2 linked regions of the Anolis sagrei genome follow. The protein of the gene in region 1 purifies or fractionates together with the protein of each later gene. This does not show direct contact. Links are inferred from orthologs where the notes say so. Each region holds a gene or a part of one and is shown in the gene's direction. Other genes may lie near its edges.

Region 1 (14,557 bases):
GCAGTTTTTCCTGGCATTTCACCCACATCTAGGGCTGGCATCCTCAGAGGTTATGAGGTGTCATGGAAACTAGGCAAGTGAGGTTTATATATCTGTGGAATGTCCAGGGTGGGAGAAAAAACTCTTGTCTGCTTGAGGTAGAAAGTTGCAATTGGCCAGCTTGATTAGCATTGAATGGCCTTGCAGCTTCAAAGCCTGGCTGCATCCTGCCTGGAGGATCCTTTGTTGGGAGGTGTTAGCTGGCCCTGATTGTTTCTTTTCTGGGATTCCATTGTCTTCTGAGTGTTGTTCTTTATTTACTGTCCTGATTTTGTTTTTAAATACTGGTAGCCAGATTTTGTTCATTTTCATAGTTTCCTCATTTTTGTTGAAATTGTCCACATGCTTGTAGATTTCAATGGCATCTCAGTGTAGTCTGACATGGTAGTTGTTAGTTGTGCGTTCTCAGGGTCCACAATCAACCTGTCAGATTACACAGAGAAGCCATTGAAATCCACAAGCATGTGGACAATTTCAACAGAAAAGAGGAAACCATGAAAATCTGACTACCAGTATTAAAAAACTCTAAAATCAGGACAGTAAATAAAGAGAAACTCTTAAAAAACGGGAATTATATGAAACAATCAGGGCCAACTAACACCTCCCAACAAAGGATTCCCCCAGGCAGAAAGCAGCCAGGCTTTGAACCTAAAGGCCATTCAATGCTAATCAAGCTGGCTGGCTGCAACATTCACACTTGTCTCGAGCAGACAAGAGTTCTTTCTCCCACCCTGGATATTATTCCACAGATATATAAGCCTCACTTGCCTTGTTTCCAACAGACCTCACAACCTCTGAGGATGCCTGCCATAGATGTGGGCAAAACGTCAGGAGATAATGCTTCTGGAACATAGTTATACAGCCCAGAAAATTCACCACAACCCAAAGATTCTGAAACTTTGTCTACTATTCGCCAGTAAAAGTGCAAAGACTAGCAACACCCTACCAAGAAGTCTGTCTGCTTTGAAGACACTGGGTGACTAGCATAACGAAAGGGAAGTTGGCAACAACCTAAGTTTATTGTGTGAATTCTTCCAGAGCTCTAGACTTTTCCAAAAGCTTTGGGCAAACAAGAGTCTCTACTATGTAGTTTGACTTCAGAAGTCTGCTAATCTTGGAGAAAACAGTGCCCAGTTTGTCCAAACACCAAGAAACCAGCTGTGCAAGAGAAAACCAGAGGAGTGTGAGGAGTAGCTGTTAAGGAGAGGAAGGTTTAGTGTATTCTGGTTATCTATGACAACAATGTGTGATTGCGCATGTTTGTCCAAAACTATTTTTGAGAACAACTTAAGGATTTCAGTCAAGTTTCTAGTCCTCATGGCTGTGAGTATGTGCTTGAAACCTGCTGTGTGGTATCAGAAAAAAACTTTTGGAGTGTGATAATTTTTGTAAGTTATAGCACAGAGATTTAGAAACATGGGACACTCGTTTCAGGCTCAAGGGAGTCGACTGCTTTTTGTTTGTTTTTAAAGCAGTGCCTCAAACTCCACCAAACAGAGCCTGATGTAAAACTGTGAATGTAAGAAGGACTCTGCTGTTTTAGACCAAAGAACTATATAATCCAGAATCTTATGTATTTGGGAACAGCGCACGAGGGCAGTAGAACTATAGCTGGGAACAGCTACTTTTTTTGGACTACAGTTCCTTAAGTCGCTGGAGATTTTTGCAAATGCTCGTCCAAAAACAGTATTGTTTCCAAGTCTAAACAAAACGCTCCTGCTCTTCTTCAAGGCAAATGTCTGTCTTACTGGATGAGATCAATAACCACTGAAGTCTTACCCTCCATTGATTTCATTAGTCCCTCTTTTGAAGTTACTGGTCATTTCTTGCAAGCACAAAATCCCAAAAGTCACGTGCATTTTTTTTTTTGTGTCAGGAGTGACTTGAGAAACTGCAAGTCGCTTCTGATGTGAGAGAATTGATGGTCTGCTGGGACGTTGCCCAGTGGACGCTCAGATGTTTTACCATCCCGTGGGAGGCTTCTCTCATGTCCCTGCATGAGAAGCTACAGCTGACAGATGGGAGCTCACCCCACTCTCCTGATTCAAACCACTGACCTTTCAGTCAGCAGTCCTGCTAGTAAGGTTTAACCAATTGTGCTACCAGGGGCTCCGAAGTATATTTCTTTTTATCTGTCCTGAATCTCCATTCATCTTAAATGGATGACCCAGTTTCTAGTATTTTGCTGTTGTTGTGTGTCTTCATGTTGACATTGACCTTATCTCAGAGGGATTTTGTGGCAAGGTTTCTTTTTGCCTTCCTCTGAGCCTGGGAGAGAGTGATTTAATAACCCAAAATACCAAACTGGGTTGTGTAACCTGGACAGATGAGGAAAATCAAACCAAATGTACAATCTCTGTGCTATATATTTCCTCTGCAAATAAAAATGAAAGCAAAGTGTCATGTCAAGCATGTTACCTATGGCATTGGAAAGCCTGATTGTACTGGATAAACTCCATTTCCTACCTCTGCAAAGCAAGCATTAGCCACACATTTTCAAGTATTGATCATCACAGCCTTCAGAACTAGAAACTTGACTTATTTGTTTGCTTTTAAACAGGATTTAAATTCTCTGGATCACTGAATGCTGGACCCAGTCTCAAAATGCCTACTTACACAGAATCCTTGCAGCCATGAATTGGTCCCAGAGCTGACAAAAATGGGATATGGATTTTTTTCTCCTTGTGATGATATTGACTCTGATCTCCTGGACCCTAACTAGCTTTTTTGTTTTTCATTTTTTCTAAAAAAATAAATAAAAACCAATAAAAGCTGCTGTAATTTTGTTGCTTTGTTTAGACCGTGGGTGAAACATCAGTGAGGAATGGGACAAGTATTCCTGGCAGTTTGTGTATGGAAATGGCCTTCAACATTACTTTACTTACTTAGGGGATCCCTCGTAGTCCAAATATAATGGTCCTCCAAATGTAGTGTCTTGCTGATGGGTCGTAGGTGGCTGTGGAGACCTTTTCTTGATCCGCATCTTCTTCCACAGTGAGGACATTGATTTCCAGGTGGAAGGTGGTCCCAGTCAGGGTTGGCTTGACGTGCCTTCCTCTTGGCACATTTCTCCCTTTCGCCCTCAATTCGAGACTCTTCGAATTCTGCAGCACTGCTGGTCACAGCTGACCTTGAGTGTTCAAGGGCCAGGGCTTCCCAGTTCTTCGTGTCTATGCTACCGTATTTAAGGTTGGCTTTAAGACCATCTTTAAATCTCTTTTCCTATCCACCAACATTAAGTTTCCTGTTCTTGAGTTCAGAGTATTGTAACTGCTTTTGGAGATGGTGATTGGGCGTTCAGACAACGTGGCCAGTTCAACGAAGTTGATGGTGTAGAAGCATTGTTTCAATGCTGGTGGTCTTTGCTTCTTCCAGCACACTGACATTTGTCCATCTGTCTTCCCAAGAGATTTGCAGGATTTTTCGGAGGCAATGCTAATGGAATTGTTCCAAGAGTTGAGTGTGATGTCTGTAGACAGTCCACGTTTCGCAGGTATATAGCAGGGTTGGGAGGACAATCTATATATATAAAAATGCTCTGTGCGTAATGAGTACCTTAAAAACAAAAGAACCAATGAACGAAATAACACCAAATTTGGCAACAAAACATCTCACAACACAAGGAGTGACCATCACTCAAAAATTATGATTTTGTCATTTGGGAGTTGTAGTTGCTGGGATTTATAGTCCACCTATAACCAAAGAGCATTCTGAACTCCATCAACGATTGAATTGAACCAAATTTGGCACACAGGACTCCCCTGGCCAACAGAAAACACTAGAAGGGTTTGCTGGGCATTGACCTTGAGTTTTGGAATTGTAGTTCACCTACATCCAGAGAGCACTGTGGACTCAAACAATGATGAATCTGGACCAAATTTGGCACGAATATTCAATATAAACACAGATGGAGTTTGGGGAAAATAGACCTTGACATTTGGGAGTTGTAGTTACTGGGATTTATAGTTCACCTACAATCAAAGAGCATTCTGAATACCACCAATGACAGAATTGGGACAAACTTCCCACACAGAACCCCCATGGCCAACAGCGTTTTCTGGTGGTCACAAAAAGGGAGGAGAAAGAGGAGGCCATCCTTCCTATGGAGGGAATTAAACCTGGAGGTTTGATGCGCCCAATAAAGAGCCCCCTGAACACCTGTGTCTAAACATGTTGGACAGAGACACGTGTTTCCCAAGGAAGGGGCCTTGTCTGGGGGGGAGGGGGAATAAGGAAAGGGATCCCCAATGAGTCTCACTTTACTTTGGATGTCCAGTCAAGCAGCGAAGCTTGCTTTTTCCCTCTCTCCTTGAAAATGGTCCTTCCTACCCACTGGTTCTGCATCCACAACTTGCTGATAGGAAGACAAAAGCTGCTGAGCTTGTTGACTGAAAGGTCACAGGTTCAAATCCGGGGAGTGGCTTGAGCTTCCGTTGTCAGCCCCAGCTTCTGCCAACCTAGCAGTTTGAAAACATGCAAATGTGAGTAGATCAATAGGTACCGCTCCGGCGGGAAGGTAACAGCACTCCATGTAGTCATGCCGGCACATGACCTTGGAGGTGTCTATGGACAACGCTGGCTCTTTGGCTTAGAAATGGAGATGAGCACCAACCCCCAGAGTCAGACACGACTGGACTTCAAGTCTGGGGAAAACCTTTACCTTTACCTGTGTATATAATGGGGAAAAGATTAATAAATGTTTCCTGGGGACAGGAGCTGTTTGATAGTGAAATATGCTGCTGCCTTGGGGTGTAGAGGAGTCTCCTTCCCTGAAGGGTTTTAAGCAGATGCTGGGTGGTCATCTGTCAGGAGTGCTTTGATTGTGTATTCCTGCATGGCAGAATGGGGTTGGGCTGGTTGGATCTTGGGGTCTCTTTCAATTCTAGGATTCTTTGATTCTAAGAGAGTTCTGTCATCTACACTGTAGAACGAATGCAGTTTAATACTACTTTAACTATGTTATGGAATCACGGGATTCATAGTTTGGTGAGGGCTGGAACTAGTTAACAGAAGAAGGCGAAAGACCTTGGAAACCTACAACTCCTAGGATCCCACAGTAATTCAAGTGGCGACAGAGTGACTCCTGAAATGCAGAGAAGACTAAAGATCTCATGAAACTACAACTCCCATGGTTCCATAGCATTGGGCCATGCATAGCAGATCCAGTGAGGTCAAACGGAACAACTTCTTTAACTATGCTATGGAATAATGGGATTTATAGTTTGGTGAGGCTCCAGAACTAGTAGACAGAAGAAAGCAAAAGACCTTGGAAAAGTACAACTCCTAGGGATCCCATAGCAATTCAAGAGGTGACAGAGTGAATCCTGAGATGCAGATAAGACTAAACACTTTGTGAAACTAAAACTCCCAGTGTCCCATAGCATTGGCAGATCCAGTGGGATCAAACGGCACGGCTTCTTTAACTATGCTATGGAATCATGGGATTTATAGTTTGGTGAGGGTCCAGAACTAGTTGACAGAAGAAGGCTAAAGACCTTCGAAAACTACAGCTCCTAGGATCCCATAGCAATTCAAGTGGCAACAGAGTGAATCATGAGATGCAGAGAAGACCTTGTGAAACTACAACTCTCAGGGTCCCATAGCATTGGCAGATCCAGTGGGGTCAAACGGAACAACTTCTTTAACTATGCTACGGAATCATGGAATTTATAGTTTGGTGAGTCTCCAGAACTAGTTGACAGAAGGCTAAAGACCTTCGAAAACTACAATTCCTAGGATCCCACAGTAATTCAAGTGGCAACAGAGTGAATCATGACATGCAGAGAAGACTAAAAACCTTATGAAACTACAACTCTCAGGGTCCCATAGCATTGGCAGATCCAGTGGGGTCAAACGGTACTATGCTATGGAGTCGCGGGATTTATAGTTTGGTGAGTGCTAGAATTAGTTGACAGAAGAAAGCAAAAGACCTTGGAAAACTACAACTCCTAGGATCCCATAGCAATTCAAGTGGCAACAGAGTAAATCCTGAGATGCAGAGAAGACTAAAGACCTTGTGAAACTACAACTCCTAGTGTCCCATAGCATTAGCAGATCCAGTGGGGTCAAACGGCACGGCTTCTTTAACTTTGCTGTGGAATCATGGAATTTATAGTTTGGTGAGGCTCCAGAACTAGTTGACAGAAGGCTAAAGACCTTCGAAAACTACAACTCCTAGGATCCCATAGCAATTCAAGTGGCAACAGAGTGAATCATGAGATGTAGAGAAGACTAAAGACCTTGTGAAACTACAACTCCCAGTGTCCCATAGCATTGGCAGATCCAGTGGGGTCAAACGGCACGGCTTCTTTAACTATGCTATGGAATCACGGGATTTATAGTTTGGTGAGTGCTAGAATTAGTTGACAGAAGAAAGCAAAAGACCTTGGAAAACTACAACTCCTAGGGAACCCATAGCAATTCAAGTGGCGACAGAGTGAATCCTGAGATGCAGAGAAGACTAAAGACCTTGTGAAACTACAACTCCCAGTTTCTCATAGCATTAGCAGATCCAGTGGGGTCAAACGGTAGTATGCTATGGAGTCGCGGGATTTATAGTTTGGTGAGTGCTAGAATTAGTTGACAGAAGAAAGCAAAAGACCTTGTGAAACTACAACTCTCAGGGTCCCATAGCATTGGCAGAGCCAGTGGGGTCAAACGGCACGGCTTCTTTATGCTATGGAATCGCGGGATTTATAGTTTGGTGAGGGCTAGAATTAGTTGACAGAAGAAAGCAAAAGATCTTGGAAAACTACAACTCCTAGGGATCCCATAGCAATTCAGGTGGCGACAGAGTGAATCCTGAGATGCAGAGAAGAGTAAAGACCTTGTGAAACTACAACCCCCAGGGTCCCATAGCACTGGGCCATGCATGGCATGACTGTATAGAATGCACCCTGAGCCAGCCTTGGCCTCCTCCCCTTTTGTTGTCCTTGCTCTTTGTCTGAGCGCCAGGGAATCAAGCTGTGCTGCCCCTTTAAGAGATTTCCTCCTCCTCCTCTTTCCCTCCTCCTCCCCTTGCCTCGCTCGTGACGTCAGTGCGGGGCCGGGTCTGTTGCTGCTGCTGCTGCTGCTGCTTGGGCGCGAGGCCATGGAGGCTGCAAGCGCGGAGGTTTGGGGCTTCCGTGGCTAATGGCGGGAGATCGGTGGGGCGATGCAGAGAGAGGGGAAGGGGAAATAATCCCGAGGGTGGAAAGAGGAAGGGGCCCCGGTTTCCTCCCGTACTCATTGCATGTGGCCTTTGATTTTTGGGGAGCCACATGGGAGGGGCTTGGGTTTGCAAAGGAAATGCAAAAGAAATGTTTTGTGTGGGATGGAGGGGAAGGAGCTGTGCATGGGAGAAGCGGTAGTGTCTTGGAAATTTGGAAGTGCAGTCAAGGAAGGAAGATTCCCCACTGTTCCCAGATTGCATTGAGAGAATCATAGAGTTGGAAGAAGGACCCCAAGGGCTCTCCAGTCCAACCCCATTCTGCAATATAGAGCCAATAACTTTGGGACCTTGTCAGAAAAATCTCACAAATACTCCTTTTTTTCCTATTTTATGGACTTACAGATTCATAGTTGGGAGAGACCCCAAGGACAATCCAGTCTCACCCCATTCTTCCAGGCAGAAAGACACTATCAAAGTCCTCCTAGAATAATAGAATCAAAGAGTTGGAAGAGACCTCATGGGCCATCCAGTCCAACCCCCTGCCAAGAAGCAGAATATTGCATTCAAATCACCCCTGACAGATGGCCATCCAACCTCTGTTTAAAAGCTTCCAAAGAAGGAACCTCCACCACACTCCAGGGCAGAGAGTTCCACTGCTGAACGGCTCTCACAGTCAGGAAGTTCTTCCTCATGTTCAGACAGAATCTCCTCTCTTGTAGTTTGAAGCCGTTGTTCCGCATCCTAGTCTCCAAGGAAGCAGAAAACAAGCTTGCTCCCTCCTCCCTGTGGCTTCCTCTCACATATTTATACATGGCTATCATATCCCCTCTCAGCCTTCTCTTCTTCAGGCTAAACATGCCCAGCTCCTTAAGCCGCTCCTCATAGGGCTTGTTCTCCAGACCCTTGATCATTTTAGTCGCCCTCCTCTGGACACATTCCAGCTTGTCAATATCTCTCTTCAATTGTGGTGCCCAGAATTGGACACAATATTCCAGATGTGGTCTAACCAAAGCAGAATAGAGGGGTAGCATTACTTCCTGACAGATGACCACCCAGCCCCAGGTGAAGAACCACCAAAGAAGGAGACCCCACTAAGGGCCCTTCCACACAGCCCTATATCCCATAATATCAAGGCAGGAAATCTGCTTTGAGCTGGGTTATCTGAGTCTACACTGCCATATATTCCAGTTCAGAGCATAAAATGTGGGATTCTGTGTTATATGGCTGTGTGGAAGGGCCCTAAGCTCCAAGGCAGGATATTTCACTGCCCAACAACTCTTACCATCAGGAAGTTCTTTCTAATGTTTGGGTGCAATCTTTTTTCCCTGTAGTTTGAATCCATTGGTGCATTGTGTCCTAGTTTCCAGAGCAGCAGAAAACAAGTTTTCTCAATGGGACATTGTTTCAAGCATTTAAACAGGGATATCATGCCAATACTTCTTTTGATTTTCAATCTGGACAGTAAATGATGTTAAGATCACAAGTATCCTCCAGAAGGATGTACACAAACATTCATGTAGAGTTTCTAAGCATTTCCTGATAGAACAGTGTTTCTCAACCTAAAGGTCAGGACCTGGGGGGGGGGGGGGGGGAGTCGCGAGGGGGTGCCAGAGGGGTCTCCAAAGACCATCAGAAAACACAGTATTTTCTGGGTTGTTGTAGGTTTTTCAGGCTATATGGCCTTATTCTAGAAGCATTCTCTCCAGACATATCGTCTGCATCTATGACAGACATCCTCAGAGGTTGTGAGGACACAGTCCAGCCCGAAATAAATAAACAAGCGAAATAAATAAAGAAATCTGTGGATATGGAAGACCGACTATACTTGTATACCCGAATGGACCCTAGACCTTAATTTTAGATATTCAGTTGAGAGGAAAGGGCAAACATATAACACATAAACAATAAGATGTGAGATTCCCAATTGTTTTCAATAACTGCAAACCCAATTTCAATCTACATCAGGCATGGCCAAACTCTGGCCCTCCAGGTGTTTTGGACTTCAACTCCCACAATTCCTAGCAGCCTACCGGAGTTGGCCCATGCCTGGTGTAAATGCACCCCTTTTCTTCTTGAGTCTGCATAAGAGAAGTGGGCGGGGCTTACACCTTTGGCAATAGGCCACACCTCTTCTAGATGGGAGCTCCTTGATTAGAACTGGGTTGCACTTGGCTAGTTCTTGCCTCCAAATGGGTCGGAATTACTCCAAATGGGTCAGTTTATAGGAAAAACAGAGCAGGAAGAAGCAGGGGGGGAAAGATGCCCAAGAGGCAAGAAGATTATTTATTATTATTACCATTATTTTTGTTATTAGTATCAGTCTTATTGTGAAGTATGTCAGAAGAGGGTTGTCTGAAAGCTCTGGAGGGTTGAACTTGCTTTCAATTGTTTAAATAGCCAAGATTCAGATGTGGTTTGCCCATAGAAAGGTGTTTCCTGAATTTGGATTAAGGTTCTCTTAGGTATTGGCAGTTGTATGCTGTTGTCTATTTACTGTATTTTCAACCTTTGATACCTCTGGGCAGCACAATTGAAGGGAGATGTTGACAAGCTGGAATGTGTCCAGAGGAGGGCGACTCAAATGATCAAGGGGCTGGAGAACAAGCCCTAAGAGGAGCGGCTTAAAGAGCTGGGCATGTTTAGCCTGCAGAAGAGAAGGCTGAGAGGAGACATGATGAGGGCCATGTATAAATATGAGGGGAAGTCATAGGGAGGAGGGAGCAATCTTGTTTTCTGCTCCCCTGGAGACTAGGACATTGGACAATGGCTTCAAACTATAAGAAAGGAGATTCCACCTGAACATTAGGAAGAACTTCCTGACTGTAAGAGCTGTTCAGCAGTGGAACTCTCTGCCCCGGAGTGTGGTGGAGGCTCCTTCTTTGGAGGCTTTTAAGCAGAGGCTGGATGGCTATCTGTTGAGGGTGCTTTGAATGCGTTTTTCTGCTTCTTGGCAAGGGGTTGGACTGGATGGCCCACGATGTCTCTTCCAACTCAATGATTCTATGATTCAGGTGGGATACATTTTTCCCAATTTTATCTTTGCGTGCAGTGCAGCTGTGGGAATGGAGACAAAATCAAGGCATTTGTTGCTTTTAGATGCTTTCAAGTCAATCCTAACCTGGGATTTTCTGGAGATAAGAGTATGTGACTTACCCAGGCAAAAACCCCTAGCTATTTAAATATTTAAATAATATTATCATAATTATTACAGAGCCCAACATAATAATAATAATAATAATAATAATAATAATAATAATAATAATAATTTATTTATAACCCACCCTCTCTCCCCGATGGTGAGAGGGTGGGGTATAGATGTGTGTATATATACACATACGCACACATCTATGCACCTATACATACATATATATATCTATATATACACACACACACACATGCAAACACAAATATATATACATATACACAAATATATATACACACAAAACATACACCAACTGGGCCACAGCAGCGCGTGGCAGGGGGCAGGGAACATACAGACACACATATATATACACATGAGCACACACAAATATACATACATAAACACATGCACACATACACATATATACATTATGCATGCACACACACATACATATATACAAATACATTCATATATACTCACATATATGCATATACACAGGCAAGCATATATACACATATAAACACAGAAATACGCAAATATATATACACACATATATGCACACACATCTATACACCTATATGTATATATACACACATACATACATACACACATGCAAACGTACACATATACACAAATACTCAAATATATATACAAACAAAACATATACACAAACTGGGCCACAGCAATGCGTGGCAGGGGACAGCTAGTAACACATAAAAATAGAGGTAAAATTACATCAAAATATTAAACAACAACAATAATAAATGCACCCACAGTCTTGCTGAGTTCTATGTATCCACTTCTTTGCTCCTTTTCTCAGGGCGAAGCTCTCCGAGGGATATCAGGAGGTGTGTCGTCCCTGGTAGAAGCGGGATCAGACGAAGCAGGTAATTTTTTTGGAAGTTTGGGGTGGAGAATGGGGCAGGTGCCCTTCTCTTCTGTCATCAGGCCCAGGTTTGAAACGTACACATAGTATCGTGAGCATATCGGTGTCTCTCTTTTTCTAGATGCCGCCCCCTCCAGAGATGGACCCAATCCTTCCTCGGAATCCTTGTCCCCTCGGAAGTTCAAAAACGCTTTGGGAGGAGCGTCCGAGAGCTCGCTGGCTTCTGGCAGAAACAGCGACGATGGAGCACGAACGCAGGTGACCGGGAATAATAAAGAAGCAGGAAGCTTATCGCCCGAAGCCGGAGGGATTTCGGCTGGATCCACTACGAGCCCAAGCCCAGGGAGCAAAGGCTTGCCAGGTGAGAAGGAAAGAAGGCATATTGTGAAATTGCATCCACGTGGCTCCAATGCTGTGGGTTTAGTCTATTTTTCTGCTGTTATACCTTCTGTTTGTACTTTATAATATCTTTTGTTCCTAATGGCTTAATTTGAAGTCATGCTACCCCTCTCTTTTGCCTTGGTCAGACCACATCTGGAATACTGTGTCCAATTCTGGGCACCACAAATGAAGGAAGATGTTGACAAGCTAGAATGTGTCCAGAGGAGGGCAACTAAAATGATCAAGGGTCTAGAGAACAAGCCCTATGAGGAGCGGCTTAAAGAGCTGGGCATGTTTAGCCTGAAGAAGAGAAGGCTGAGAGGAGATATGATGAGCGCCATGTATAAATATATGAGGGGAAGTCATTCATTTGTAATGAATGTTTTGTCAATAAAAGTACATTTAGGCACAAGTCCCCATTTTCCCCCTTTGTAACTTCTAAATACAGTCCAGCTTTGATCTTTTGATAGTAATAGTTCTTTATTTGTGAGGTCCACATTGATTACACGATGTAACAAAATTTGAAAAATTATCGTGTTCCTGGTTTGAAAGTGTTATTTCCTGTTTAATTGTGCAGTACTAGCTTCAGCTAGTCCAGCGCGCGGCAGCCATGTTACTAACAGGAGCAGGACGCAGGGAGCATACAATGCCCTTGTTGTTCCAGCTCCACTGGCTGCCGATCTGCTACCGGGCCCAATTTAAGGTGCTGGTGCTATCCTACAAAGCCCTAAACGGTTCCGGCCCAAAATACCTTTCGGACCGCATCTCGGCCTATGAGCCCACGAGGACCTTGAGATCGTCTGGGGAGGCCCTTCTCTCGATCCCGCCTGCCTCACAGGCACGCCTGGCGGGGACGAGGGATAGGGCCTTCTCAGTGGTGGCCCCCCGGCTGTGGAACACCCTCCCCGTTGACATCAGACAGGCGCCCTCCCTTATGTCCTTCCGGAAGAGCCTGAAGACATGGCTATTCGAGAAGGCATTTAACTAAATGCTACAGTAACTGGAAATGACAACTGGAACGGAATATAGACTACGAGACTGGTTATGATTCTATGATAAGACGAAGCGGATTATTTTAGTGTGATTAGATGATAGTGTACTAGTGATATGTTGTTTTTGTCGTGTAGTTTATTGTAAAATATGTTTTTTATATGTTGTACACCACCGCGAGTCGCCCTAGGGCTGAGAGCGGCGGTTAACAAATGCAGCAAATAAATAAAATAAATAAATAAATTACTTTGAAAGTAGTTGTTCTACTCCATAAACTTCATTTTTGTGGCTTCTACAAACTATGTTGAAATGGTTAAGACCCTATGAGATAGTCAATGAATAACTATAGCAAAATGTGCTGCATGATGTCCCACGAAAACAATGTTTTTGCAGTTTAATAAACTTTTTCCATGTTTTCATGCTAGAACCAATTTGGAAATGACATTTATAACCCACGGACAAGAATCTTACTACATAGTTTTATCGGTTTTGGACTTCAACTTCCAGAAACTTCAGTGATGATGGATTCTGGAAGTCGAAGTCCAAAACATCGGGAAGGACTAAAAGTTGAGAACCCCTCATCTGTGTAAAGATTGAAGACTAGAAATGTAGTTGAGGATTCTTTGTTCAATTGCTTTTGGTTTCAGGCCACGCGGCCAAGACTTTCCCCTCATCTCCCAGCAAAACGGGTGGTCCGAGCCGGGCAAAGATGTCACTCACCGGAACCAGCAAATCCCCGACGTCCATCCAGAGTTTGGCCATGCGCCTGCTGAGTATGCCTGGGTCGCGGCTTCCTGGAGATCCTGGGATGCCCACAACAGAGACTCCGGCCTCAACCTTGGGCCCAGCCTCAAACTCATCCCCGACTCAGTCCCCATCCCCGGCAGCTGAAGAGGTCAAGCCCAAGGTCCATCGGGCACGGAAAACAATGGCAAAGGCCAGCACAGTGCAGGTAAATCTGCTCACGTATTTTATCACTTGCAGAGGGACAACACATGTGTCTATGGCTTGGTCGCTTTCAGTTGCGTACCTGAAATATTTCCAAACTTTCAAAAGTTCCAGACAGACAGACTTTTCCCTAAGAAGCAGGGCAAGCAAATTCAGAATTTTAGAGCTAGAAGAGACAGACCCCAAGGGCCATCCAATCCAGTCCCTTTCTGCCATGGAAGAACACTTAGTCAAAGCACTCTGGACAGATGACCGTCCAGCCTTTGATTAAAAACCATCTAGAGAAAACTTCATCACACTCCAAGGCAGCATATTTCACTGCTGAACACCTCTTACCATCAGGATGTTCTTTCTAACATTTAGGGCAGGGATCCTCAAACTTTTAAAGCCGAGGGCCAGTTCATGGTCCCTCAGACTGACTATAATTTGAGAAAAAACATGTATGAATTCCTATGCACACTTCACGTGTCTTATTTGTAGAGCAGAGCAAAACCATACAAGAACAATACCAGTATTTCAGTGAGAAGTGCGGGCCTGCTTTTGGCTGATGAGATGATCAAGTTAATTAGGATTGTTGTTGTTATTGTGTACCTTCAAGACGTTTCAGAATGACCCTAAGTCTAAAGTTTAGGGTGGGGGCTGATAAACGACCTTGCAGGGCAGCATCTGACCCATGAGGCTTAATTTGTGGACTCCTGGTTTAGGGGGAATCTTCTGGGGCTGCAGCGGCACAATGGGTTAAACCGCTGAGCTGCTGGACTTGCTGACTGGAACATTGGCAGTTTGACTCCATGGAACAGGGGGAGCTCCTGCTGATAGCCCCAGCTTCTGCCAGCCTAGCAGTTTCGAAAACATGCAAATGTGAGTAGATCAGTAAGTACTGACTCAGCGGGAAGTTAAACAGTGCTCCATGTAGTCATTCTAGCCACATGACCTAGAAGGTGTCTATGAACAAAGCATGCTCTTCATCTTAGAAATGGAGATGAGCACCACCGCTCAGAGCCGGAAGGGGAAGCTTTTA
Region 2 (15,555 bases), on another chromosome or scaffold:
CATAGAATATTATGCAACTACTCAGTGATTTGGGGCTGAATTGTTTTGAGGGTAATGTTAAAAAGGAGTGAAAGGGCTTGTAGGAATCTTAATGTTTGCAGATGAGATGAAAGAATTTGGACGAAATGAAATATTTGTGCGGGGAAATTAGGAGCCAAGTAATAAATGTTGAAAGGAAATGTAGTTTTTGCCATTCACCCAGCTGTTTATGTATGAAGGAAGAATTGTTTAGCGAAATGTCAAGCATCCGTTCCAAGCCGGGCCCTTCCACACAGCCCTATATTCTAGAATAGCAAGGCAGAAAATCCCACATTATCTGAGCATGGATTCAGATAACCCAGTTCAAAGCAGATATTGTGGGATTTTCTGCCTTGATATTCTGGGTTATATGGCTGTGTGGAAGGGCCCTCAGACAACCTAGGGCCCTTCCACACAGCCTTATATCCCAGAATATCAAGGCAGGAAATCCCACAATATCTGCTTTGAACTGGGTTATCTATGGGCCCATCCAGACAGGACCTTTATTGCAGAAACTCTCAAAATAAAGAAGGGGCTGTTCTAGGCAGTGCCGAATTAATTCACTACAAACCAGAAAAACCCTGGTTTGTAGCGAATTAATTTGATAGTGGATTTATTCCGTGCCTTCTTGGAAAGTGCAGGATAAACCCATTATTTCTGGATCTGAACTGCAGAATACGGAAGTCCAGACATTATTCCCACAGGGCATAATAATAATAATAATAATAATAATAATAATAATAATAATAATAACAACAACAACAATAACTTTGTTTATAGACCACCCTCTCTCCTAGAGGGGACTCTGTATAGTTACAAAACAAAAAAGGCAAACATTCAATGCTCAGACAAATGCAAAAAACAATTACAATGCAATATAATAAAAATAATGACAGTGAGCTTATTGTATAAACATTGACATCAAAATGTAAAACAGGATACAAATAATCACATGAAAACTGGTTACCCTAATCACATACTCAACATTAAAACATCTCAAATTATAAAAACAATTAAAGTAAATGAAAATTGGCTGCTATAGTTGTTCCTGAAGTATACCAAAGAGAACACAGGGTACAGCCTCACAGCCACTGTTTGCTTCCTTTTCCTGCATATCACTGCATATCACTTGGATAAAACAGACAATAAAGTTAAAATACATCTAAAATAGATCATCAAACATTTTAAGTTAATTTATATTAGCACTGGACTGGTCCCAGCATACAAACACCGATGTCTTATTAGATGCAGCCTTTGTCCATGGTTTCCTTTGCTACTGTAGAAGAGAACATACATAACTATTTGTTTCTAGTACTCTTCCAAAGTCAGAGGAAAGCAAAGGCAACACCCTCTGAACAAATCTTGCCAAGAAACCTGTGATAGATTCTCCTTAGGATCATCAGAAGCCAAAAATAATTTGAAAGGACACAACAAAACAGATCTTCCACAATGACATCACACACCATTTTATTACTTTCTGCATTTTTCAAAAAAAAAATGTGGCTGGTTTTAGCCAGATCATTAAAGGAAATCTTCTTTTCCATATTATCCCATCAGGCATCAGAAAAAAATTAGACACCTGAAATATAACTTCGCAATTACCTGTATTTTAACTTGCTTAGTGGAAGCAGAGGATTGCAAATTCATGCCTTGATTTCAGCTGGGTTTGAAGAGATTTTAGCCAAATGAGAGCAAAAAAAATATGAATGAATTTGCTTTCACAAAACAGCTGGATCAAAAAGAGACGGGTTGTGAAACTAATTCCGCATCTACCTTCTACGTATTTACTTGGTAATTTGTTATGCAGCAATGTCTTTTGGCCAGGACAATAATTATTTTGTTATGTAATGACCATTAAAACATAACAAAAACACAAATGTGTCTTTACATAACAAAACATATTTTGTTTTGCAAAGGACTGGCCTCTGTCTCCAATTCAATCCACAGTCTAAATGCTGCCCAAACGCAATTCTAAACATAGTACCTGCACATATTTTTAAATCAAAGCTCAATCCTTCTGGTTCTACAACTCAAAGATGTTGCTGTGTTAGTCTGGAATATAGGTACGCAAAAGTATCTTTCCTAGCACTTTAGAGACTGGGGGTGCAACCTCTACTTGATAGAATTAATGTGGTTTGACATCACTTTGATGCCAATGCTCAGTGCTATGGGATCCTGGGAGTTGACGTTTGTTGCAGCACCGGCACTCTGGGGCAGAGAAGGCTGAACAGGCATAGGCAAACTTGGGCTCTCCAGATGTTTTGGACTTCAATTCCCATAATTTCTAACCGCCTACCAGCTATTAGGAATTGTGAGAGTTGAAATCCAAAACACATGGAGAGCCAAAGTTTACCCATGCCTCTTGTAGAACTACAGGGTGCGGCAGCATAACTTCCTTTTCCCAAAATTTAATAAAACCCATTGTATGAATCATATTTTTTTTATAATGTAGGCACATACCAAAGTTTTGTTTTACGTAGTTTTGAAGATCAAATTAGGTAGATGACGTCCCCCATTCTCGATACACTGAGTAAACCGATTTCTGGCGTTTGTCATGACTCTTGCCAGCATAGCAAGCGTTATGTTGGCAATTTCTTCCTGGATGTTGGTCTTCAAATCTTGTAGTGTCCTTGGACGGTTCACAAAAACATAGAATTTCAAAAAAAACCATACAAGATTGATCTTCAAAACTATGTAAAACAAAACTTTAGGTATGTGCCTACATTATTAAAAAATTCTGATTCATACAATGTGTTTTATTAAGTTTTATTAAGTTTTGAAAAAAGGAAATTATGCTGCTGCACCATGTATAACTCTAGTGATTCCATAACATTGGGGCATAGCAGTTGAAATGGTGTCAAATTATGTTAATTCTACAGCATAGATGCACCCATACTTAACCTCCAAGTTATTTAGTCTCTAAAGTGCTCAAAATCCCTTTGAATACTGGTTACAGGCAATATATGGGGAGCGATCTATACGTGTTTGTTGGCTGCCTAAAATCTCTTTTATTTCAAAAGATGAGACGTGATGAGGAAACAAAAAAAAAACCCAAAAAAAACAAGAAATAGGCAGCAACTGATATTTTTTTTTTGCCAACTTTAGTCTGACTTCCTGTATTTCTCTCACATTTGCAAAGTGAACCAGACGTGAAATGCTTCACGTATTTGTGTGTGTGTGTGTGTGTTCATTTCTTCTCAAATAACAGCTCTAAGGGACAGGAAGCCATCCAAAAAAACAGGCGGGAAAACAAATGCTAATACACTTTCTCCCCTTTTAGATAATTCCCAGATATTTGAAGCTCTCGTTACTAGGTGACTGAGGCGGGGGTCACGGTGGTTTGAGAAACAGAAAAGTTCAAGATCATGAAGATATGAAACCTTGCAAGGAGTTTATTTTTTTTAAAAAAATACATTTTTGCATATGATATGGGGGCAGTGGTTGGGGGGAGAGAGAGGTAGATGGTGGCACTATTGCTATTATCCAGATGGAAACTGTTTTTCCTAAAACATAGTAACCAATAACTCTAGTTAGGAATAGTTTGCATGGATTTTGCTTTGAAAATGTCTTAAATTCAAGTGAATGGTAAAGTATGTTATACTTATTTTGCACAAGTTGCCATTTGGATACACATTTGATTATTTCTGAATGTATGTTTTCTGATTACATATTAGATTGTGTGAAATAATTAATAATAATAATTTCAAAAAGAGAAACAGAAAAGTTGATCCAGCAATTGAGAAAGGCTTTTCCCCTTCACCCTCAGGATATTTTTCAGACTTCAAACCTTTCCTTATGCTTAGCAAGCATGAGAAGTGCGTGTACTTTTATGTTTTAATCACATAAAACCCCTAAATGTATTATTTATTGAATAATAATAATAATAATAATAATAATAATAATAATAATAACAATGGTTGTGGGAGAATGATATGTCAAAGGGTTTCGGTGGATGGAGGATGAGGAGAAATGAAGTGTCTATGGGCCCTTCCACACAGCTCTATATCCCAGAATATCAAAGCAGAAAATTCCATATTATCTGAGTGTGAGCTCAGATAACCCATAATGTGGGATTTTCTGCCTTGACATTCTGGGATATAGAGCTATGTGGAAGAACCCTACATTGCATATAAAATCCAGATTATCTGCTTTGAACTGGGGTATATGACAGTGTGGACTCAGATATCCCAGTTCAATTTGCGATGTTGTGTTGTTATTGAATTGGTAATTGTTTATTGCCCAATTAGATTTGTCATTGTTATAGTGTACATTTCTCATCATTGAGAAATCTAGGCCAGGAGTGTGCAGGTACAGCTGTACCAGGAGCTCCCATTTTGTTTGCTTTGCATTGAATGTTTGTTGCAGTCCTAAGTTTCAGGGACTCTGCAGATAGGTGGCTTCTTTTGGCTGCAATCATAGGGCAAGCCACCTGTCAATTATAGTTAGGTTCCCTGGTCCCGCCCCTTTTTGGGTTTTTGGAGGGAATAGGAGCCTTTTTGGTTCAGTCCACACAGAGAAGCCTTTCGCACAGGACATAATACCAAGAGCTCCTGTAGAAAGCTTCATCTTCTACGGCTTAGCCAGGGAGATACAGCCCCACAGCTTGGCCGGAAGATATACAGCCTTACAGCTCCTTCGCTGAGGGACTTCAGTCAGCCATCACTGAAACCTGAACTCCTTTTTCCCTGGAAGTCTACAAAGCTCTGCTTGGTAAGGGTCGCTCGCGGAAGCCAGACGCAGTTGGTACCGGGTGCAGGGGCTCCACGCCAACAGAGGCAAAGACAGACTGCCCAGATTAGAAGTTAAGAATTTCCCTATTAGCTTAAATATTTATTTATTTATTTATTTGTTTTATTTTTATACCACATTTTTCAGCCTAAATTGGCGACTCATGGAAATACAGTTTATGAAGATAGTGCCTGTTCCCTGTGGACAAGACTATGGAAATACAGTTTATGAAGATAGTGCCTGTTCCCTGTGGACAAGATTGAGAGAGAGCCAATAGACTGTTAAGTAAACCTTAAAGTACCTGTTTGTTTTCATTAATAAAGAACTTTGTTGAACCTTTAAGCAATCTAAAGACTCTGATTTAAGGAAATCCAAGGGCCTTTAACCTGAGGCAGCCCCGGCATCCCGTTGGGCACACAGAATTTAAGTCCTTTCTACAATTTTATGCACAGGCCCAGTGTGCGACAGCACATGTGGACTCGGATAACCCAGTTCAAAGTAGATATTGTGGGATTTTTTGCCTTTTATTTTATTTTTATTTATTGTGTCAGGAGCAACCAGACATTTGTATTACATTTTTAATAAAACAAACAAACAAACTGACAAAACACAAAGTTTGCGAGCTTGGTAGTTGATTAAATGTCTTTTGACCAGTAGCTGGCCACTTGGAGTGCCTCTGGTATTGCCGCAAGGAGGTATTGGCTGCTACTTCCCGGCGGATGTCAGGTGGTGCAATACCGGCTAGACAGTGTATTTTCTCCATTGGTGTAGGGCGCAGACACCTGTGATGATGCAGCATGTCTCATTAAGAGCCACATCCACTGTTTTAGCATGGTGAGATGTGTTCCACACTGGGCAAGCATACTCAGCAACAGAGTAGCATAGCGCAAGGGCAGATGCCTTCACTGTGTCTGGTTGTGATCCCCAGGTTGTGCCAGTCAGCTTTCGTTTCTAGTACCCACTTTTTGCTTGATTTTCTGCCTTGATATTCTGGGATATAGAGCTGTGTGGAAAGGTCCTTCATTGCATATAATATCCAGATGATATGCATTGAACTGGGGCCCCTTCCACACCTCTGAACAAAATCCCACATTATCTGCTTTGAGCTGGGGTATATGACAGTGTGGACTCAGATAACCTAGTTCAAAGCAGATATTGTGAGATTTTCTGCCTTGACATTCTGGGATATAGAGCTATATGGAAAGGTCCTACATTGCGTATAAAATCCAGATGATCTGCTTTGAATTGGGGTCCCTTCCACACCTCTGAACAAAATTGGGGTATATGACAGAGTGGACTCAGATAAGCCAGTTCAAAGCAGATATTGTGGGATTTTCTGCCCTGATATAATAGGTTATACTAGCTGTGCCCTGCCACGCGTTGCTGTGGCCTATAGTAAAACTTATCAAAGTTGAGGTAGATATCTGGACTATTATGAAAGAGAGGTACCTACCTATTCCTTCCCCCTTTTCCTCCCCCTTTCTCTACTTTCTTCCTTCTCTCCCTCTTTCTTTCTTTCCTTCTTTCACTACTTGGTTTCATCCTTCTCTCTTTCCTTCATTCCCTCCCCCTTTCTTCCTTTGCCTTTCTTCCCTCCCTGTTTGCTTCCTTCTTTCACTTTTGATTTCCTTTTATTTCACCACCATCATAACAATAACAATAATGCAATGCATTGCCTCTGGGACCTGACACCTCTCCCATTCCCCCTAAAAGGGTCTCATAGGAACAATAGCATCATAATAATAATAATAGAAATAACAACCTTTACCCGCCACGTGTTGCTGTGGCCAATCTTCCCTCTTTCTCTCCTTCTTTCCCTCCCTGTGTGTGTGCGGCGGCGGGGGGAGTGGGGTTGCATGTGTGTGCGGCGGTGGGGGGAGTGATGGAGCGTGGGGTTGCGTGTGTGTGTGCGGCAGCGGGGGGAGTGATGGAGCGTGGGGTTGCGTGTGTGCGTGCGGCAGGGGGTGTGTGTGTGCAGGAAGCGGCGCGGCGGGGCTTGGAGTGGGCATGGTTTCCGCAGAGGGAACGTTGGCCGGAAGGCCATGTGTGCGCGCGATGGAACTTGCGGCTGGGCGCCAATGCGCATGCTCAGTTGTTTTGCCGTTTTGTGAGTGTGTTGTGTTGTTTTTCATTTTGAGTAGATATGTTTGTACCTTGTGGGTTGTGTTATGGGCACGGGAATTTTGGTTAAGTTTCGTTGGGGGATTTTTGAGTTTTGTTGTTTTGCCGTTTTGTGAGTGTGTTGTGTTGTTTTTCATTTTGAGTAGATATGTTTGTACCTTGTGGGTTGTGTTATGGGCACGGGGATTTTGGTTAAGTTTCGTTGGGGGATTTTTGAGTTTTGTTGTTTTGCCGTTTTGTGAGTGTGTTGTTGTGTTGTTTTTCATTTTGAGTAGGTATGTTTGTACCTTGTGGGTTGTGTTATGGGCACGGGGATTTTGGTTAAGTTTCGTTGGGGGATTTTTGAGTTTTGTTGTTTTGCCGTTTTGTGAGTGTGTTGTTGTGTTGTTTTTCATTTTGAGTAGATATGTTTGTACCTTGTGGGTTGTGTTATGGGCATGGGAATTTTGGTTAAGTTTCGTTGGGGGTTTTTTGAGTTTTGTTTCCTTGTTGGATGCCCCTAACAAATTTATATATATAGATGGCTGTGTGGAAGGGCCCTGGGTTACTGAGTCCACAGTGAGATATATCCCAGTTCAAATCAGATAATGTGGGATTTTATTCAGTTACTAGCTGTCCCCTGCCACGCGTTGCTGTGGCCCAGTCTGGTGATCTGGAAAATAAAGTAATGAGAAAGTGTTGGTTTCTAATATATGTAATTCCTTTATGCTTGTGAGTAAACAGTATTTCTTGTTGTTTCTTTGTCAGTGTTGATGTGGAGAGTGTCTGGTTTGCCACCTCTGGAATATGCAACCTATCATAGTCCTTCTTTAAGGGTCTCTTTCAAATCTATGATCCTATATCTCTCTGTGTGTGAGAGAATCATATCTATCTATCTATATTTATGACTGGATGGCTCTTTGTCAGGAGGGCTCTGATTACGTTTTCTTGCCCTGGTGAAGAGAGTTGGACTGGATGGCCTTAAGTATTTTCTGTTGGTCATGGGGGTTCTGTGTGGGAAGTTTGCCCCATTTCTGTCGTTTGTGGGTTTCAGAATGCTCTTTAATTGTAGTGAACTATAAATCCCAGTAACTACAAATCCCAAATGTTAAGGTCTATTTCCTCCAAACTCCATCTGTGTTCATATTTAGGGATATGGAATTTTTGTGTCAAGTTTGGTCCAGATCCATCGTTTGAGTCCACAGTGCTCTCTGGATGTAGGTGAACTACAACTCCCAAACTCAAGGTCAATGCCCACCAAACCCTTCCAATGTGTTCTGTTGGTCATGGAAGTCCTGTATGGCATGTTTGGTTGAATTCCATCATTGGTGGAGTTCAGAATGCTCTTTGATTGTAGGTGAACTATAAATCCCAGTAAGTACAAATCCCAGATGTCAAGGTCTATTTCCTCCAAACTCCATCTGTGTTCATATTTGGGCATATGGAATATTCGTGCCAAGTTTGTTCCAGATCCATCATTTTTTGAGTCCACAGTGCTCTCTGGATGTGGGTGAACTATAATTCCCAAACTCAAGGTCAATGTCCACCAAACCCTTCCAGTTTTTTCTGTTGGTCATGGGAGCCCTGTGTGGCCCAATTCCATCCTTGGTAGAGTTCAAAATGCTCTTTGATTGTAGGTAAACTATAAATCCCAGCAACGACAATTCCCAAATGACAAAATCATTTTTTTTGAGTGGAGGACATAAATTGGACTGTTAGGTGTCTTGTGTCCAAATTTGGTGTCAATTCCCCCAGTGGTTTTTGAGTTTTGATGGTAGCACGAACTAACATGACATTTTTATTTATAGAGACTGGAAGGGGCCCCAAAGACATGGGAAACATCTGCAATCTTGCGCGCTGTTATTATTATTATTATTATTATGCAAAGGCAGGCCTGCGTGACACCTAACGAGGGGGGCACGAGCCTTGCTCTATTCTTGCCCTCAAAAAGGAGGGGGGAGGGGGGAGCGAGCGTAATTACAGTTGGAAGAATGGGAGGGGGAAAAGGGAGGAGGGTGTCGTTTCTCGAACGCAGCGCGCGCGCGGAGGTTAAAAAAAAATAAAACCCCAATCAAACAAATGGTCTCGTGACTGGTCGAAAAAGGGAGGGGGAGGAGAGAGGAGGAGGAGGAGCGCGCGGGAGAGGCGTCGTCGTCGCCGCCGCTGCCGTCGCGGGCGCGCCCACCTCCTTTGCGTGGTGACGTCGCCGGGCCTCTTCCTCCCCCTGGTGGCGCCTTCCCTCCCTCCCTCTCTCCCTCCCTCCTTCCCTAGCAGAGCTCGCCGCCTCCCAGAGACCGCTGTGACCCGCCGCTCTCGCTCCCTTCCCGTGCCACTTCCTCCTCCTCCTCCGCCGCGGCGGCGATGTGATTACCCCACTCCCGGCTCGGCCCGCCCCAGCTGCGCGGCGAATATGGCGGAGGTGAGTGAGGGAGACCCGCGGGCGTCTAGAAGGAAGGAAGGAGGGAGGGAGGGGGAGAGGGAGGAGGAGGCCGGAGGAGGAGGAGGAAGAGGAGAGAGAGGGGAGTCGGGGCCCGGCCGGGAACTTGTTGCGCGGCAGCCTCTCTGTGCAAGTTAGTTCGGCTGAAGGTCCCAAGGCCGGCCTGGGTGGCAAGCGGGGCACGACTCGAACTCGCAGCCTTCTCAGGGCCCCACTGGAACTTGGAGGGGAAGGAGGGGGAGGAAGGGGGGAGCTCTGCCTTGGGACACAGGGAAGGTAAAGGGGAAAGGACATTTTTGGATGGAATAGCGAGGGAAAAGGCTGGTATCTTGCTGCCTGGGATGATCAAATTGTCACCCAAGTTGCCCCTACCTCGCTTTTTTGGCTATTGTTGAACTTACGACAGGCATGAGCAAACTTGGGCCCTTCAGGTGTTTTGGACTTCCACTCCTCCTACCATTCCTAACAGCCTCAGGCCCCATCCTTTTCCCTCTCAGCCACTTAAGGAAGTGGCCTGAGGCTGTTAGGAATGGTGGGAGTTGAAGTCTAAAAACATCTGGAGGGCCCAAGTTTGCTCATGCCCAATCTAGGTAATATTATTATCCTTTGATTTAGGGGACTCTTTATGCTGAACCTCTTTTTTCCTCTGTTCTTTCAAGCTGATTCATTTTTTTTAAAAAAAATAGTAAAATTTTTTTGCCCAGTCTTGACTATGCACCCCTCACCATGGAGCCCCCGGTGGCGCAGTGGGTTAAACCCCTGTGCCGGCAGGACTGAAGACCGACAGGTCGCAGGTTCGAATCCGGGGAGGCGGATGAGCTCCCTCTATCAACTCCAGCTCCTCATGCGGGGACATGAGAGAATCCTCTCACAAGGATGATAAAAAATCAAATCATCCGGGCGTCCCCTGGGCAACGTCCATGCAGACAGCCAATTCTCTCACACCAGAAGCGACTTGCAGTATCTCAAGTCACTCCTGACACGACAAAAAACAAAAAAAAAACCCTCACCATATGTCAACCCATAGCCATTTGTATCACAAGTTTATTATATTGGAGTCGATTTTTACCCCGCATGAGTACACCAAGGCAAGACCCAAAGCGACTTAACACAGGTATGGATAAGTTTCGGCCCTCCAGGTGTTTTGGACTTCAACTCCCACAATTCCTAAGAGCCTACCAACTGTTTGAAATTGTGGGAGTTGAAGTCCAAAACACCTGGAGGGCTGAAATTTGTCCATACCTGTGTTAAGTCGCTTTGGGTCTTGCCTTGGTGTACTCATGCGGGGTAAAAATCGACTCCAATATAATAAACTTGTGATACAAGTGGCTATGGGTTGACATATGGTGAGAACAGCCCTCAGATAACCCAGTTCAAAGCAGATGTTGTGGGATTATATGACTGTGTGGAAGGGTCCTCACTGAGCAAAATTGAATCTTAAAGGCTGTCCAATAACTCAAGATCCAGGTGGTGAAAGATACATAAAAATATAAAGATAGTGACTGAAGACCGCTTTTGAATTTAGCAAAAAAAACAAAACCCTACATAATATATAAGTCAAAGGAAATGCGAGTTGTCCAGAGCCATACCCAACATATATCTCACAACCACAGAAGTATATGTTTCAATCACTCAAAATGGATAGTAGTATAATGTAGAAATTTGGAACACGAAAGTTGGGTGTTCTTTACTGCTGAAGGCAAAGTCTTCAAACTACCTTATATACTTATTTATAAGTTGACTTCATGTATAAGTCAGGTTCAGGTTTAGGGTTCAGAATTATGGATTTTGCTATGACCTGTGGATAATCGAAGAGTCATTTCACAGAGAGGGGAAGTGCCGTCTCCTCAAGTCCATCACTGCCATTTCCCCACCCAGGCATTCAAAAAGACTAGAAGTGATGCCAAGACAGAGAGAGTAGAGACGGCTGGTGCTTCTTTTAAGTTTTCCTGGAATAGTCTAAGCTCTTACCTTTCACCACTGTACTCAGAGAAAGAATGGTCTCTTTTTATATACAAGAGCTAAGATATAGTACTCACATTGACTCATGGGTAAGTCAGCCCAGTTTTTCTGAGTTAGTTTTTTTGACTATTTTTTTAGACCTATACATAAGTATATAGGGTAAGATTGTAAATAGTTACTCACCTAAGTTTAATTCTGGTGTTTCTCCAAGCAGTAATGCTATGTACATGGTGTCTTTATTTTGGACATTTTAAAAGTTACATGAATGTTCTATGTTGAGTCATTTCTGAAACTTTAGTGCTGTGATTAATAGATTCCCTCATCTCAGTGACTTCTTTGAAGGAGAAAATTTCATGTGTTTACAACTCAGTTGGACTCTGCATGGAGTCCCTATGCTATCCATACTTTAAATATGTGACAAAGGAAAGAGTTGAACACCTGCTTTATCCTATATATTTCATTTTTTCCAAGGTGGTTATCAGAAGCATTTTTTTTAATGATAGAATTTTCACCATGTTTATTTATGCATTTGTGATATGTATGGAATTCTGCACTTCACAGTGGATTATATAGAAGTTCTAAAAGCATAGTAAACAAAGCAATAAAATAAATACAATTAGCAGCAAAATAATTATTAAAAATAGATACTGAGAGTAAAAGGTGTTTTACTCTTAATCTTTATTTTAAATTAGTTTTGAAATGATCCTTAGATCAAAACAACATGGGCAAGAAAACTCAACACACCAAAACAACTAGACATTATAGTATCAGGATGCCACAATGGAAGAGGCAATAATAAACAACTTTGTACATTTTCTAGGCCTAGTGAAACCATTCATTTTAGCTCCTTTAATAAGGAGTGGAACCTAATTTTTTACTTTTATTTTTGGTGATTCAAAGATCTAAGATACGAAGTCTACACGTTTGCTTTGCATGTTGTATTTATCGAGCCAGAGGATGGAATGTGGTTATTAAAAAACCCCTTGAAGTCTTTCTCATTAGTTGTTTGGAATATGGCCATATAGGTGTTGGTTTCAGTGACATTCTCCAGTCTACCTGATATGAATTTACAAAACTGTTAAGAGAAGTTGTTAATTCTTACCGTTTGATATACTGTTACTGAATTTATTGGTATTGTTGAATCAACATGAAGAGTTGCAGTATAATGTAGAAAATAATTTAGATTCATGGTAATAGCTGCATCTATTATACCTTAAGGTTGAATTGATATCATTCTTATGGTAGAGAACACAAATTTCAAAAGGTCAAGAGACATCATGGAAGTCTGTCACATTTAAAACAGAACTTTTTGCTGCTGTTAGGATCATGAAGCATGCTTTAAGACACTAGTGATCAATGGTACACCTTGTCCACAACACTTATAGATTGGTGTGGTTTAGATTTGATAGATATAGAATTGCAAAATACTTCCAAGAGGCTTTTAATTTGTCAGGCAAGAAAACATGTGCAACCAAATCCTACTATTGGTGATTCAAAAGTAAATTCCACTGTATTTAGTGGATCATTATCCACTAGTTTGTGTATTTGTTATTTCAGCCATCTGTAAATACACTTTGGAAATCATCATTTTATTGTTTGAGAAATTTCTTAGGTATATGCAATCATTAGTAACTTGATACCTCCAGAGATTAGTATTGGAATCTGTATCGAAATGTTCCAGTGTATCTGCAGCTTCCTAAAAAGTGTATCATTGGTTCAAGGATTCCAACCAGCCATTCTGAACATCATAATGTTTTATAGTATGCTTTGATTTGTTTAAATTTTATCTTGTTTTTATATTTTAAGCCATACCACCCTGAAATCCCTCTTCTTTTTTAAAAAACAAAGATACTATTTACTAATTCTTCTATCAGCATTATTTCTTGCACAGACTGTAACTGTTGAGTGTGCCTGGTCATTATTATTTTTTTGCTATTTTATTAATTTTCAAGTTTAATGCATTTCTGAACATTTTGTGGTTCTTCTGAAAATGCCAGTACATCTGGCATACTTCTCACTGACAGAATTTTATTTTCATAAACACTTGTCACTGGATTTTTGTTTGTTTTTTTTTTGGTTAATTTTGCCTCTGCATAAAATATGACATGACACAAGATGGGTAAGTAGCAAATCCTAGTCTTGGTGCTTGTAGTCATGACTGCAGTTGTGATTAACTTGGTACAACCTAGGGTTTTCCACAAATGCAGAATTTATCCCTACTTTAAGTGACATGCTAGCCACCATGTTTATGCTGTCTGTTGAGAGGGTTAGGCCTGGTTTATAGGTAATTAGAAAACCCTGTTCTCTAAGTTCAATTCCAGATGTAGTATTGATAAGATCCTTAAAAAAACTTCGTCTTTAAGACTGAAATAATTTTTCAGAGTTGTGCTTTTGAGTATTTATTTAATTGACACATATGTTTAGAATTGCAATTTGACAGTATTTTTATTTATTTGTATACTGCCCTTCTCAGCCCTCAGGCAACTCAGGGCGGTTTACAGAGGCAACGATTCAATGCCCAATACGCTATAAAACATTTGAAAGCATGAAAACATAATATAAAACCATAACAATAGTATTAAAAATATACATAAATTATGTCTCCTAATAAAAACATTGTCCAATCCCTTCGTCCAGTCATTCCAATTCCTATGTCATCTATCTTACATTTTCAAACACTTGTTCAAATAACCAAGTCTTGACTTTTTCCCAAAATGTTAAGAGGGAGTGGGCTGATCTAATGTCCCCAGGAAGGGCATTTCATAGCCGAGGGGCCACCACTGAGAAGGCCCTGTCTCTCATCCCCACCAAACGTGTTTTTCTTTACAGGGGCGGGTCAGTATCTACTTTGAGATATAATAAAAGCCCAAGAGGTTTCAGTATTTATTGTTTTCTTATATTGAGTTCTTTGAAGCGAATACACTCCTTTCTTTCGTTAAAAAGAGGCAAAATACTAAAATTCATGGAATGAATGTGTGTGTGGACACTGTATTCTTATCTACACTGACGATTTAATGCAGTTTGAAGTTGGCTTCAAACCATTGTGACCAGACAACAAACCCCCTCAAAAGCATACAAAAGAAATCCTTTAATGTAAATAAGTGATCTGTGTTTGTGTAATCAACATCTGGATGTTTCCAGGATTTCCTGTGTAATCATCTGCTCAATGAAACCACTTTCTTCAATATTGGGTTGAAACTGCATTAAATGGTCAGTGTAAATGGCTACAAAGTGTGTGGTTTTAGGGCAGTCGTTCCCAACCTTTGGCCCTCCATGTGTTTTGCACTTCAGGATTTCTTGAAGTTGAACTCCAAATCAACTGGAGGACTAAAGGTTGGGAACCAATGTTTTAGGGGATTCTGGGTGTGTTTTTGACACAAACCTTTGGCAATGACAAATTTTAAATTCTTAACAACCATAAGTTGCCATCATGTCATTGAACAATTAGAAATAATCTAGTACAGAGGGACGTACTGTTTCTGATACTCTTAGAAATAATGTACAGAGGAACAAACTTGATTTTCTGCCAGGGATGGGAGCAAGGTGGCGGTGTTGAGGAGTTGACCATCTCTCCGTTGCCATGGACCGACCATTTCCTGATCAGATTTAGGCTCACTGCGCCCCCCAACCTCTGCAAAGGTGGAGGACCCATTAAGTTGGTCCGCCCCAGGAGGCTTATGGATCCGGATGGATTCCTGACGGCTCTTGGGGAGTTTCCCGCCACCTCGGTAGGTGACCCTGTTGATGCCTTGGTTGCTCTCTGGAAAGGAGAGATGTCCAGGGCAATTGACACGATCGCTCCGGAACATCCCCTCTCAAGTAGCCGAGCTAAACCAGCTCCTTGGTTTACTGAGGAGTTGGCAGTGATGAAGCGAAGGAAGAGGGAACTAGAGAGCGTGTGGCGTTCAGATCCGAGCGAGTCAAATCGAACACGGTTTGTGTCCTTTTTAAGGGCATATGCCGCGGCAATAAAAGCCGCAAAGAAAACTTTCTTTGCGGCCACTATTGCGTCTGCAAGGAACCGTCCGGCGGAGTTGTTCCGGATTGTCAGAGGTCTTTTAACTCCCTCCACTCTAGGCGGGAGCCCTGACAATTCGGCCACGCGCTGCGAAGCATTTGCTCGGTTCTTCGCAGACAAAGTCGCTTTGATCCGTTCCGGTCTGGACACCATATTAAATGCAGTCTCTGAGGATGTGACACGAGCACCTGCTTGTCCTATTTTGATGGATTCTTTTCAATTGGTGAAGCCCGAGGATGTGGACAAGATACTTGGAGGAATGAGGCCTACTACGTCCATCCTAGACCCCTGC

Evidence for each region.
Region 2: the proteins of EHMT2 (region 1) and MIER1 purify together in Homo sapiens (co-immunoprecipitation; 3 studies listed by BioGRID and IntAct, with this or other methods). This does not show direct contact. The link is inferred for Anolis sagrei from reciprocal best matches to the Homo sapiens genes EHMT2 and MIER1.

The regions. Positions count from the first base shown.
Region 1 is NC_090022.1:18,396,114-18,410,670, forward strand, and holds the start of EHMT2 (histone-lysine N-methyltransferase EHMT2), read left to right. Parts: upstream 1-7,077; 5' UTR 7,078-7,129; coding exon 7,130-7,150; intron 7,151-11,151; coding exon 11,152-11,218; intron 11,219-11,338; coding exon 11,339-11,578; intron 11,579-13,235; coding exon 13,236-13,540; intron 13,541-14,557. UniProt on the Homo sapiens protein: Histone methyltransferase that specifically mono- and dimethylates 'Lys-9' of histone H3 (H3K9me1 and H3K9me2, respectively) in euchromatin.
Region 2 is NC_090024.1:165,098,126-165,113,680, reverse strand, and holds the start of MIER1 (mesoderm induction early response protein 1), read left to right. Parts: upstream 1-9,035; 5' UTR 9,036-9,256; coding exon 9,257-9,265; intron 9,266-15,555. UniProt on the Homo sapiens protein: Transcriptional repressor regulating the expression of a number of genes including SP1 target genes. Probably functions through recruitment of HDAC1 a histone deacetylase involved in chromatin silencing.